2 linked regions of the Arabidopsis thaliana genome follow. The protein of the gene in region 1 purifies or fractionates together with the protein of each later gene. This does not show direct contact. Each region holds a gene or a part of one and is shown on either strand. Other genes may lie near its edges.

Evidence for each region.
Region 2: the proteins of AT5G10780 (region 1) and LrgB fractionate together in Arabidopsis thaliana (co-fractionation; one large-scale study listed by BioGRID). This does not show direct contact.

What each region holds. Positions count from the first base shown.
Region 1 is NC_003076.8:3,404,560-3,411,357, reverse strand, and holds AT5G10780 (ER membrane protein complex subunit-like protein), read right to left. Parts: upstream 3,080-6,798; 5' UTR 2,937-3,079; coding exon 2,808-2,936; intron 2,657-2,807; coding exon 2,600-2,656; intron 2,415-2,599; coding exon 2,261-2,414; intron 2,053-2,260; coding exon 1,955-2,052; intron 1,834-1,954; coding exon 1,768-1,833; intron 1,638-1,767; coding exon of another isoform or gene 1,634-1,637; coding exon 1,574-1,633; 3' UTR 1,288-1,573; downstream 1-1,287. Other genes in the region: UBP22 (ubiquitin-specific protease 22), read right to left, coding at 1-720; AT5G10770 (Eukaryotic aspartyl protease family protein), read left to right, coding at 6,027-6,189, 6,680-6,798.
Region 2 is NC_003070.9:11,535,517-11,543,098, reverse strand, and holds LrgB (uncharacterized protein), read left to right. Parts: upstream 1-3,202; 5' UTR 3,203-3,342; coding exon 3,343-3,618; intron 3,619-3,690; coding exon 3,691-4,006; intron 4,007-4,145; coding exon 4,146-4,407; intron 4,408-4,495; coding exon 4,496-4,611; intron 4,612-4,711; coding exon 4,712-4,821; intron 4,822-4,901; coding exon 4,902-5,079; intron 5,080-5,148; coding exon 5,149-5,278; intron 5,279-5,376; coding exon 5,377-5,527; 3' UTR 5,528-5,857; downstream 5,858-7,582. Other genes in the region: AT1G32090 (early-responsive to dehydration stress protein (ERD4)), read left to right, coding at 1-144, 241-376, 456-557, 641-760, 841-921, 996-1,336, 1,416-1,661, 1,756-2,080 and 2 more; NSI (nuclear shuttle interacting), read left to right, coding at 6,810-6,850, 6,922-6,998, 7,106-7,166, 7,243-7,441, 7,530-7,582. UniProt on the Arabidopsis thaliana protein: Glycolate/glycerate transporter required for photorespiration.

The sequences.
Region 1 (6,798 bases):
ATCACCAGAAAACATAGCAGAGAAGATAACATCAAGATCACAAGGCAAACACAACAAACCCATTGTTCTTCTAGGACAAAGATCACGATTATGTTGACCACTCAACCAAAAGTTTCTCAAAGGAGGAGCATGAACAAGTGCTTGCAACACAGCATTCATAAAACAAGTGCTTCCCAGATTGTTCAAACCTCTCAACCCCAAAGGAAACGTCCATTTCTCCCTTCGATCTCGAGGTGAGACCAAAAAATTCGACCCTATGATCAATTGCGAGTCCAATCTCCTCTTCTTGTTCGATCTAACCGCAACAACATCAGCCCCTGATTTAACAGACATACCCAAACCAAAAAGCTGCTTAGACACAACAACCTCGTCGAACTCAGAATCATACACTTGATCGATGCAAGCACAGCAATAAAGCTCAGATCTTTCGACATCAATGGCGATATCATGGCCTTTATTCAACTGGGTATGCAAAAGGATATGACTTGAACAAGAAATGGAACGACAGATCAAACAGATGTAGAGTCTCTTTTGATAAACAGAACAATAACTGCATCTGGGTATGTCGATTCCTTGAAGTTTGATCTTAATCCTTGCATCGTTGAAGCATCTGAACAAGTTATTGAAAGATTTGTAACCATCAGTACCATATCTAAGCTTATAATCAGATAAGTGATTGCACGGATCGGGATTTTTCAGAAATGAAATCCTCGCGGACATGAAAACAAAACTCAGATTCGCTTCAAAAAGAAGAATAAATGGAATCAAAAATCACAGTGACCAAAGTAAGAGTTTTTGTTTGAGATCAAAGAATCAATCCTCTTTTTTTCTGTGATGAAAAACAAAAAAGAAAGAAAATTTCGGATCAGGTTAGCGTGTTAAGAGTCATCATCTCTCTGTTCGTTTTTATCAAATTTTTACTAAAAGATCGGAGGATTATGCAAAGGAAAATTTTACAAGATTAATGGGGAAATATCTATTTCTCTTTTTTTCTACTTTCTTTTTTGGGTGTTTTTTTCTTTCCTGTAAATCTTTTATTTCTTGCAAATCTTATAATCATTAAAGTAAACATTTTTGTCGTCCAGAGATTTTTTAGAGTAGACCGACTTACATGATTCTAAAAGACTGCACTTTGTTCCACGTCGTCTTCTGCTTCCCAAACTTGACCTAGTTTCTCATTGCGCCTTACTAGTCCACTCTCTTGTAACTTCTGAATCAACTAGAAGGTCTCAGTCATGGCAAAATGATATCAAGCATTGATTGATTGTTAACTCAGAATCATTGAGTGGAAGCAATAAAGAGAGTAAAGCTTTTATCTGAAATATTTTATCCATTCCTGTCTAAAAAGATGAGAAACAAAAAGCTGGGAGATAAGGTCCCTTCAGTGCCAATAATACATTCATAGTTATGATGAACAATGAGCATCATACTAAAAAGTGTAAAAACTATGGTTTCTGAGTTTTGAAAATGCTACAAGAATATCATAAGATGAGGGAGGTTCATATCACTTAAGTAACTGTTGCAGTTATCTCACAAAAGTGTTGTCGTTGTCGCGCGGTTTTAGCGGATTATTTTAAAATACAAGAGACGCTGATTCATCAGTGGAAAACAAATCCTCCGCCCGAGTGTTCAACTTCCTGAAAAAGTAAGAGGAGGAAACAAGATGTGCAGCTTAGAGATGATTCGTCAAAATGCCAGATTCTTGCTTTCACGGATGTATTTAAAACACATAGGCCTAAGATTTAGCTTCAGACAGAAATTACCAACCTGAGGAGGGGGTAGAGATGAAACCCAATCTGATGCATGTGTTGGAAGAAGCCCCAAAGTGTTAAGCTGAGAAAGTGAAAATCGTTTGTATAAGGAAACAGTTCTTTACACTTGTAATCTAAGCCAGTGTTGCCATACGGAAAAAGGAAAGAGGATACAATGAGGAAACGAAAAAAAAGTTTCTTACCTTCCAGACACCCAAAGCTAGCCCTCCAAGGTTTAGGGCAAGGAACACTAATTTCGGCATAAGTAGTTCCACTTTGTTATCCTTGAATGGCTCAAAAACTGCAGACAAGGTGTAAAGGTAAAATATAAGGAATGATGGATACTACTTGCAAGTTCAAACACCATTTCATTTAACTTTTATATTTTCCAATCAAGAAGTCATCACAGTTCGATAAACTACATATAATTGTGGGCTGACAAGCTAATTAATAGGATACCAAATTGCATGTTAGGCAAAGACGAATAAGATGTAGTGAAGGAAACTTACTCTTTCCAACACTCTGAAGAGCACTGATAGGCTGCCAAAGAGCAGAGAAAGTAATACCAATACTAAAAAGATGAACTGTGTTTCCAGCCATCCACATCATGAAACCCATCATCATCAAATTCTTAAATGGAGATTGCGCTACTTCCCACGCTTTCTGCTCATTCCCCAAAAAAAACATATCAGTTTTATAAACTTCATCCTCACTTCAAACCCAATCAGATTTGGACAGCGAAATACAGTCTAACGTAAGCTCTGTGACAATCCAATACATGGAAGTCAATGGCTTTTAAGATCTACATAGAGTAAGATACGACTTTCAGATTTGACATAAGTGTATACCTGAAGTTTCCAAGTAGCTTCAGCGTCTTTCTTTTGGCGGCTGTTTGCTGAATCATCCTGAACTCATCAAACGATAACACATCAAATCCCAGTAGCAAAACAACTCAATTCTCAGTCAAAATTCCAAATTGAAACCTCGAATCCAATCGAGAACAACAGGAAATATAAGAATCCAATACCGGAACGGCCTAAAAAGAAAGAAATTAACCTGTTCCTGAGAGGCACGAGAGAAGCCAGGTGGATCGAGGATGTCACGGGAAGATGGAACAGTAGATTGATCGGAGAATTCGACGGCCCATCTCCGACCAGTACCCATCACTGCTTTGCCTTTGTCCATTGTCTTCTTTCTTCGATCGAGAGAGACACAGAGAGATTGGGGAAGAAGAGACCTAGATCGGATTTATCTTCTCCTCAGCTTTAGATGTTTTCCCAATTCGAATAATTGACAAGGAAAGCTAAAAAAAATCTTCACTCCAAACCCGTTTCTTCAGGTCGGGTCCAAATCCAGATATTTTAACTGGATCTCAGTTTCCTTTATTCTATTAGGCTTTTCAGCAACTTGGCAAATTGTTTAATGGGCCTTTACGAACCCATATAGTCTATATTACTTCTATTGCTTCCAAACCGGTACAGGTTCGATTAAAGAGTCTACTACTAATATGAAACGAATTTAGATGTTCATGTAATAATGATGTTCGAATTCGGAGGTTTACACACGATGTATTTTGGTATATCTTCTTGAAGCATGCGATGTGTCATTGTTAAATTGTAGTGGCAAATCTAGATGTGTTGATACTTTGCATCTCTAAATTTGGTTCTGCAGCTACCATTATTGATATATCACTTTTTTATTGTTATTGGAATTGGTACCATATATAAGTTATAAAGCTCGTGAACGATAACACACGCAAGACGAAAGACCATCCACTATTATTGTTCTTAATATTGTTAATATACAAACCTAAAATGGAATTGATTTACATAAGATACTCCCTTCGTTTAAGCCATTCCATCTACCCACTATAAATTATGAGTTGATATAATATTTCATTTCAATCTTTTTATTAGTGGAAACTTATCGGATGATAAAACAAAATCCATTGTGGGATGTGACAACTAACGAATTCCCACACTGCTACAATTCACCAGCTTTATAATTTCTATAACTACATATTCCATAAATTTTAATTTTAGTTTTTTTATTACATATTCCATATAATTGATTGATATTCAGTTACAAAACCACCATTATTCTTTGTTAGATTGTCATTTTCTTTCTTTTCTATCCTACCACAACATTCTCGATCGTATATATCTCGACACTATGCATAGAGATAGACGTTGATAGTCGCCACAGACGAATAACGAGGGTTTCCGAAACAAAATTAAAGAAAACAAGAATTTTGTTTTCATACAAACGTAAAACACCCGGGAGGCCGGGACCATTATAAAGTATCTGAATAATTTAGACTAAACGAGTGTTATTGCCTCCTCATCTTTTTCAAACACTTCAGTATCTTTGTCTTTATGCTGATTTATCGACGTTAACACATTTGCCTTGTATAAGCATTATCTTGACAATAATTAATAACGCCTGTAAGAAAAGCGATGCATCGACTTTAGCAAAAAAAAAAAAAGGATGCATCGAACAAGCTTTATGTTGTTTACAGAATTTGAAAATATTATTGCCTTTTCAATTGGCTCGGTGGTTTTTTATTAGCAGACGTCATATATATCCAACTTTGCATTTTATGTTGAGTTAACCTTTTTATATAAAATATATATGAAGGTTTTATAGAACTTATTTTGGGATTTTATAAATTGAAATCATATTTGAATGCCCTAAACTAACTGTCCATGTGTCAAAAACTGGTATAGTAAATATATTTGTATTTATCAGGAATATAATGTCTGATAAAAATGGAGAGTTAGGTCATCACTCAATTCAATTTGTTTATCAGAAATAAATTATATTTCATCCACCGTCTACGGATTCGATATAATAAAACCAAATTCATAATGAATATCACTCCCCTTTTAATTATATATACAGAGTTTCATATTTAGAACCAACAACCTGCATTATTGATGAGTCAAATAATCAAATATGAGTGTTTAGTTAGTAAAGTAACCAAACAGTAATAAATAGTATATGTTTTTTAAGAGAGATAGTAGTGATTAAGTCAATGTAAATTGTGAATTTGGACGACTGTTGTTGAATTTTCTAAGTTTCTAGAAATTAGGGTACAGATTCCAGCTTTCTCCCACTTCCACTACATTAAGATTCTTTATTAGAATCTTTATCTTTTGTTCCCACTTGTACTCATTACTTTTTGTCAAATTTTGTTTTCCGGAAACTATATATTGAGGCCCACACACATCCAATTAATTGATTTTCTTGTGGATTTTATATGTTATCTCATTCACACTTACATGTATTTGGTCCAAATTACTTTACAATCACTCCATTTACTTATATCTAGTGTATTATTTGTTATTTTTACCTATAACTTTCGTTCAACTTCAGAACTTTCTTTTAAGTATAATTTTCTTAAAGCTTTCACTGTAGGATGCTAAGATGTGAGATCACATGTTGATGTTCAACACGTTCATGTAAACAATTATTAAATCTAGCTACCAAATGCTAACTAAACTACGTACATTTAATTTTCGAAGGAGAGTGATTTCGTGAAGCAACACTATTTCCAAATTGATGCAAACATATGATATGTGACTTAAAATGTATACGCGTAAGTAAGCATGAATCAAGAGACATGATCATGTAGATTAATTTCCTAAAGATGTTGCTTTCATTCTTTTTGTGTTACTTCAATACTATGATCACTTTGGATTCTCTTAATTTTAAGCAACATTATTGCTTGCTGGTATTCAATTATTGGCGTTCTAATATGAGGCTTATGAATTGACTCTTCCATTATTAGGCGAAAATATCATTATGGAGAGTACATTAATGTTTTTGTTAACGAATAAACTATAATTATACGTTTATAAATGGGTTCATTGCACATTTGAATAATTGAAAATATAATTTTGTTTCGCAAATTAACGAATGAGCATCACACACATCCATGCATGATTCGACACCTACCTAATCAGTTTACTACTGATCAATGAATCATTTGGTGGAATATTATCCCGTTCATTGTGCTGAAATTGAAGTGTGCATAGACAACAGAAAATAACAATAATGCTCCATTGCCAGATGATGTGTCACTATCTAACTGGTTAGTGAAACCAATGGAATAGGGTGCCCCTACTTGTGTGATATGTGGATGACTGGATTGCTTCTAAAGCTTAACAACCTCCACTAGAGACTTTCTTGAGCAAAAAAGATTGGTTATAAAGGACCAACCATTGTCATGTTATTGAGTGTCATTTTTGTGAGGGAGAGAATTAAGAGAGCAAAATGAGCATAAATAGGAATCTGTTGAATATCATAATAATCCTTTGTATATGTCTCAATTTGGGTTGTAACGATGGAGCTCAAGAAAGAGAGACTGATTCTCATACTATCCAAGTCAGCTCTCTCCTCCCTTCATCATCATCATCTTGTGTTCTTTCTCCCAGAGGTGATGATTTCTTAGCCAATTCATTTTCTGATATGATTCATTGTCTTTTAGCTTTATAGACAAGGTAGATGAATAGAGACTCTCAATTAGGAAACTTAGGTTATAAATCTTGCTTCCAAGTAGTTGATACTATTACCATCACAGATTCACAGGACTAAGAAAGCGATAGTAAATATGTCTTTAGTAGTATATGTTTAATGGGGGAAACGACAATAATTAGTAGTTGTAATCAAAATTTTGTTAGCTAGTTGAGTGAGTTAACAAAAATTGCAACAATTTATACTCTTTTGTGAGTTAATTATATAAGTACAACTCTGTATGACTCCACATAAGTTGAAAATTTTCTTTATCATTTCCTTAGATAGTAATACATCAACGACCACAAAATATAAGGTTTTGGTTTTTTTTTGGTGATAACTTAAAGAATCTGTGGGCAGTGGGCATATTCGTTTTCTTTCTAACGTGAACTTTTTATCTCATTCCTATTCAGCGTCTACTACAAAGTCTTCACTGCACGTGACGCATAGACACGGCACGTGTTCGCGTCTAAACAATGGCAAGGCCACGAGTCCAGACCATGTCGAGATCCTAAGACTCGACCAGGCTCGC
Region 2 (7,582 bases), on another chromosome or scaffold:
CTTTGCACCAGTGATGGTATTAGCGCTTGTTGTTCTTGTTCCAGTAAATGTATCAAGTGGAACACTTTTCTTCTTGAAGAAGGAACTTGTGGTCAGCAATATCGATAAGCTCTCTATATCCAATGTTCAGCCCAAATCTTCAAAGTGAGCTTACTTGTGAACTAAAATTATGCTTTACTAATCAATGAGTTTTACTGGCTAAAGTTTAACATTTCTGTGTATGTGTGTGTGTGTGTTTAGGTTCTTCTTTCATATTGCAGTAGAGTACATTTTCACGTTCTGGGCATGTTTCATGCTCTACAGAGAATACAATAATGTCGCTATTATGCGTCTGCAGTATTTAGCTTCACAGCGTAGGCGTCCAGAACAGTTCACTGTGAGTGAAAAAGCCGCAAACTTCAAACATGGATAATTGTTGCATCTATGTTTATATATACTACTGTTTGTTTTTGCAGGTTGTTGTTAGAAACGTCCCTGACATGCCTGGTCACTCGGTTCCCGATACCGTTGATCAGTTCTTTAAGACGAATCACCCTGAGCATTACCTCTGTCATCAAGTAATTTTGTTTGTCCTTCATCACTTACTTTAGTTGTAGAATGCGTTAGTGTGTGATTGATGAATTCAACATTCTTGTTTCAGGCTGTTTATAATGCGAACACTTACGCAAAGCTGGTGAAGCAAAGAGCGAAGTTGCAACGTTGGTTTGACTATTATGTGCTGAAGCATCAACGTAATCCGCATAAGCAGCCTACTTGCAGAGTTAGTCTCTCCCACGCCATTTGTTTAGCTTTTTGAAATGAAACGATGTTGATTGTGATGGGCGGATTTTCTTTTTTCAGACAGGTTTTCTTGGTCTATGGGGTAAGAGGGTTGATTCCATTGAGTACTACAAGCAACAAATCAAGGAGTTTGACCACAATGTAAGCCATTCATTTGCTTTTTAAGTTACTGCTGAAACAGAAACTTAAACCTCGTTTCATCTTTGGTGATACAGATGTCTTTGGAGCGTCAAAAAGTTCTCAAGGACTCCAAGCTAATGCTTCCTGTTGCATTTGTGTCGTTTGATTCACGATGGGGTGCTGCTGTTTGTGCACAGACGCAGCAGAGCAAGAATCCGACATTATGGTTAACGAGTAGTGCTCCAGAGCCTCGTGATATCTATTGGCAAAACCTTGCTATACCTTTTATCTCTTTAACCATCCGGAAACTCGTAATTGGTGTCTCAGTCTTTGCCTTGGTCTTTTTCTACATGATTCCTATCGCCTTCGTGCAATCTCTTGCCAATTTAGAAGGTCTTGACAGAGTTGCACCTTTCCTCAGACCTGTTACTAGATTGTAAGTCTCTCCATCTATCTCGGTTTTTTGCTTCTTGGTATGTTAGACCATTGATCCCTCTCCTTGGTATTTATTGCAGGGATTTCATCAAGTCATTCTTACAGGGTTTCCTCCCCGGTCTTGCGCTGAAAATTTTCTTGTGGATTCTCCCTACGGTTCTGCTAATTATGTCGAAGATTGAGGGATACATCGCTTTATCAACCCTTGAGCGTAGAGCAGCAGCAAAGTACTATTACTTCATGTTAGTTAATGTGTTCTTGGGAAGTATCATTGCTGGAACCGCGTTTGAGCAGCTGCACTCTTTCCTTCACCAATCACCATCTCAGTAAACCACCTTTTACTTCTATTAACCGTCTAAAGATTCTAACTTTGAATTAAAACTCATATCTTAAATGCTCTTGTTTATTGTGTTTATGCAGGATTCCTCGAACCATTGGGGTCTCCATACCGATGAAAGCTACATTCTTTATCACATACATAATGGTTGACGGATGGGCTGGGATTGCAGGTGAGATTCTCCGGTTAAAGCCCCTCGTGATTTTCCACTTGAAGAACATGTTTATTGTGAAGACTGAAGAAGATAGAGTGAGAGCAATGGACCCTGGTTTTGTCGATTTCAAGGAGACTATCCCATCTCTCCAGCTCTACTTCCTCTTGGGAATTGTCTACACTGCTGTTACTCCCATTCTTCTTCCTTTCATTCTCATATTCTTTGCCTTTGCTTACTTGGTCTATCGCCATCAGGTTCGGTTTCATACCCAATCACCCGTCGTATCTAATTCTCCGCTAAATTTTGGGTTTTCTTGATGGTGCTTTCTTGGTTTACAATGCAGATAATCAATGTTTACAACCAACAATACGAGAGTTGTGGAGCGTTTTGGCCGCACGTTCATGGCCGGATAATCGCAAGCTTGTTGATATCTCAGCTTCTGCTAATGGGACTTTTGGCTTCTAAAAAGGCAGCTGACTCAACTCCATTGCTTATCATCTTACCCATTCTCACACTTTCTTTCCACAAGTATTGCAAACACCGCTTCGAACCTGCCTTTCGACAATACCCTCTTGAGGTAAATAAAGAATCTTTTGGGCTCTCTTCCTAAAAAAAAAAGGTTTAAAGCCTTCTTACAAAGACCCGTGTTTTTGGTCTTAACAGGAAGCAATGGCGAAAGACAAGTTAGAGAAGGAAACAGAACCGGAGTTGAACATGAAAGCAGATCTTGCAGATGCTTACTTGCACCCAATTTTCCATTCATTCGAGAAAGAAGTAGAATTATCATCATCATCATCATCAGAAAAAGAGACTCACCAAGAAGAGACACCAGAGGTAAGAGTGGACAAACATGAAACACAGTCGTCTAGTCCTGTGACAGAGCTCGGTACTTCTTCCCATCACCATCATGTCTACAATTCCACTTCCCCTTCTTCTCACTACGCTTCAGCTTATGAGCAGTCATCGTCTCAGTATGAATATCACTACAATACTCATCAGTACGAGGAGCATGAGTACCGTTACAATTGATCTCTAGACAGAAGAAAAATATGTAATCTCTTATGAGTGTCATAACTAAAGGTTTCTTTTGGTCTAGGTTTAGGTTATTTGTTAGCTGACTTTGGTTTCGGTTTTAAAGGTTAGGAAATTGGTGTTAGTGTCATTCACTTGTATGAAAATATATTCGAAGATTTAATTTATTGTCATCTTTCAAGCCTATTGTAATTGTAAAATTTGGTTTATTGGATATGATAAAAGTTACGTTAGAAAATACTCTAATAAAAAAGATGTATCAAAAACTATATTAATATTAAATTAAAGTAGACAAAAGACCTTTCTTAACGGAAAAACCTAACCCGGAAAAAGACAAAACTGGATCCTCTTGTCGATAGAACTTTCTCTCTTGTCCATACAAATATCGTAATCCAATTTCAATCACAAACATCATTAACGAAGATGGAGAAGACTATGATGTGCCGTCTCTTAGAATCACATCCACGTCGTCGTCTCCATACCCATGGCTACTCTTTTAGCCACTCCTATCTTCTCTCCTTTAGCTTCTTCTCCAGCAAGGAACCGTCTTTCTTGCTCTAAGATCCGTTTCGGTTCCAAAAATGGGAAAATTCTCAATTCTGATGGTGCCCAGAAGTTGAATCTCTCAAAATTCCGTAAACCCGATGGCCAAAGATTTCTACAAATGGGTTCTTCTAAAGAGATGAACTTTGAGAGAAAACTCTCAGTCCAAGCTATGGATGGTGCAGGAACAGGAAACACATCAACGATCTCTCGTAACGTAAGCTTCACGATGTTGTTTATTTACCATTTTATTGTAACAGCTTTTTAAAGTTTTGAATTTTTCGTTCAGGTAATTGCGATAAGTCACTTGTTGGTATCACTTGGGATCATTCTTGCTGCAGACTATTTCTTGAAGCAGGCGTTTGTAGCAGCGTCTATTAAGTTCCCAAGTGCTTTGTTTGGGATGTTCTGTATTTTCTCTGTTCTTATGATATTTGATTCGGTTGTTCCTGCTGCTGCAAATGGTTTGATGAATTTCTTCGAGCCTGCGTTTCTGTTTATCCAAAGATGGCTTCCTTTGTTCTATGTTCCTTCTCTTGTTGTTCTTCCTCTTTCTGTTAGAGATATTCCGGCTGCTTCAGGTGTCAAAATCTGCTACATTGTAGGTATGAACTTGATCTTCACTTGGTTAATGATCTTGTGTTCTCTGGTAGCTTTTATGGGTTTTTTGTCTAATTGCTCTGTTTTGTTTATTATTTAATGCTGATCTGATGTCAATGTTGATTTGAATGTTTGTTTGTATAGCCGGTGGATGGTTGGCGTCACTTTGTGTAGCAGGGTACACAGCTATTGCAGTGAGAAAAATGGTGAAAACCGAAATGACGGAAGCCGAGCCTATGGCAAAACCATCACCATTTTCAACACTTGAGCTATGGAGTTGGAGTGGAATCTTTGTTGTGTCGTTTGTTGGTGCTCTGTTTTACCCTAATTCATTGGGGACAAGTGCAAGAACTTCTCTCCCTTTCCTTCTTTCTTCAACTGTGCTAGGTTACATTGTAGGTTCTGGGTAATATTCAAAAACCCTTCTTTGTTCTCCATCTTTAAGCCTCTCTATCTCGCGGTTATTCTCAGTGTCTTATCTTTCTTTCTTCCAGGTTGCCATCTTCTATTAAGAAAGTTTTCCATCCGATAATCTGCTGCGCGCTATCTGCAGTACTTGCTGCTCTAGCTTTTGGGTATGCTTCAGGATCTGGACTTGATCCTGTTTTAGGTAAAGTTACCTTCACTATGAAAGAAACTATAGAGAAACCCTTTTTTGACCTAAAACAGAAAGTAAAAGCATTTTGTTAACTGCTCTTTAATGGTGACAGGAAACTACCTTACCAAAGTAGCATCAGATCCTGGTGCTGGTGACATCTTAATGGGTTTTCTTGGCTCTGTCATTCTCTCTTTCGCTTTCTCCATGTTCAAACAAAGAAAGGTAAAACAAACAACAAACTTGTTCTGTTTTGCTTTAGAAAACTGGTAACAATCGCTTTGGTTTGCCTCTGTCTTCTTCAGCTCGTGAAGAGGCACGCAGCTGAGATCTTCACATCTGTGATAGTTTCAACGGTATTCTCGCTCTACTCCACTGCTCTTGTTGGACGTTTAGTCGGTTTAGAACCTTCTTTAACGGTTTCAATCCTACCTCGCTGCATCACGGTTGCATTGGCCCTTAGCATTGTATCACTCTTTGAAGGTATATATGTTTCTTCTTCTTCTCAACACATTAAAGAACATCCCTAACGAATTTGTTGGACATTTTCAGGGACCAATTCGTCTCTTACAGCAGCTGTAGTCGTTGTGACTGGTCTGATTGGAGCTAACTTTGTACAAGTTGTTCTTGACAAACTGCGTTTACGTGATCCAATTGCTCGGGGAATTGCAACTGCTTCAAGGTGACTCCATTACAAAAGATCTTTCACATTTTGAATTAAAATTATGCATTAATGCCATTAGGATCAAAAGACATGACCTTTCTATTTTTTATGGACAGTGCTCATGGACTTGGAACAGCAGCTTTGTCGGCTAAGGAGCCAGAGGCTCTTCCCTTTTGTGCAATAGCTTATGCTCTTACCGGAATCTTCGGATCGTTACTGTGTTCTGTTCCTGCCGTCCGACAGAGTTTGCTAGCGGTCGTCGGCTGAGGATTGATGATGTGGCGAAACACGATTGATGGTCTCAAAGCTGGCGAGTTACTTAAAATATGAGAGCAGTTTGCTTTGGATGTCAAATAAGCTTGTATTAATGAAAAAGATGATGGAAAATGTTTATTTATTTTATTTTATATATGTAAATGTTGTGAGATTTGTACAACATACATAAATTTTATATAGGAGTAGGATGTCCCAGCTTTCCAAAAATTTGTCACAAAGGTATATTGTCTCCATTTGAGGAAGATGAGATTTGTCGATGAAAACTTCGTCCTCTAGTTGAGTTTGTTACGTTGACTAGACAATAATTGCTCATATAGTAATAGCAGGTTGAAGATTCATTTGATGGAGTTAATGTTGAAGGCCAAATGAGGAGAAACAATAGATTCAGCAACATATCCTCGAAGGCCGTTAGTCGTGGACTTGGCGAAGGCGCTAGCAATTGGCTGAGACTGAGACGCTAGTTGTTAATGAAGAAAGTTTCACATTGGAAGTTGGGGTTAGTATCAAGTAGTATATAAAGAGTTAGAGTCACTCTACTTATTGCCAATTGATTTTAGGTTGGAATGTCATGTTAAGCCCAAATCTATCACTGGAAGTACCTCATAGCACCAATGATCAGTTTTGATAGCAGCTTCATACTTGCAATCCCAACCAATAGTGATCTATGAAGTATATTAAGAAATGTTAGAAACAAATATTCTAAAGCTTCCACGGCTCTTTATTTGCTTTGAATGATTATTTTAATAATTTGATTATTAGAACCAAAGTATGTTAAAAATTTAAGATTTTATGAAAATGGATAAATTTAAGATTATTTTGAATAGTCATTTATATATATATATATATATATATATATATAAATTGCTAACCGATCCAGGAAAAACAAAACCGAAACAAAACTGGTTGCGAAAATCTTATAAAATGATAATAGATTTTGATATGCTGGTAAATTTACATTTCACTTTTCTTAAAATGTGAATATAAATATTTTAATTTAGAAATTTATGTATTCTTTATTTTTCTTTTCTGTCAAACAGAAAAATCTGTCTTCAATTTCATCTTGTATGTGATAAAAAAAAATTATAAGAAGTCCCCAGTAACAATCCTTTACAAACAAATTGATGAATTCAACAAAAATAAGGGAGAGGGCAAAAGCGTAAATAACAAAAGTCGATGACGAGGGCCAAAGCCCCAATGGAAGGTGTTAAGCTAAACTCTCTTCTTGTCTGATATTTCTTCTACTCTCAAGTCTCAACCACATAACCAATAAAAAATGCTACTAATCCCAATTTCTTCTTCTTCGTCTTCGTCTATGTAAGTTTCCTCCTTTTTAACATTCAAATTCTCATCTCTTAACCATATTACTAACATCGTCTTTGTTGTAGTAGCCCTCCTCCTAATTCATATCCATCGAATCATCACTCTCTGTTTTTCTCCAATCTCACATTCCCAATTCAACATGGTACTTATCCTTCATCAATCTGTTGACTTTTTTTTTCAATTTCACAATTCAAATTCGAAGATTTGGGTCTTCGTATCAAGAGTTGAGATTACAATTCTGTTCTTCAGGAAGTAGAAAGTTGAAGACTTTGCGACTCAGAGCCAATTTCTGGGAGTCAATCCGATCTGGGTACTGAAAAAGCTTCATACTTTACTTACTCATATGAGAAATTAGGGGCTGATACTATAACACACCATTGTTGCAGGTTTGTGAAGAATAATAATAGTACGCAACTTGTGGAACCACCTTCTATAGTCAATGATGAAGAAGAAGAGACTGAGCCATTGTTACCTGTGGAATTTACTTTAGTTGAGAGAAATCTTGAAGATGGTTTAGTTGAAGAGATCATATTTTCTTCTGGTGGTGAGATTGATGTTTATGATCTTCAAGGTCTTTGTGATAAGGTAGTTTAAAACACTACTCCTGTGCTCTGTTTATGCTTGATGATACTTCAAAAACTCTCATTTATGGTTATCTTATGGGAAAATATAGGTGGGATGGCCAAGGAGACCGTTAGTGAAACTAGCTGCTGCTTTGAAGAATAG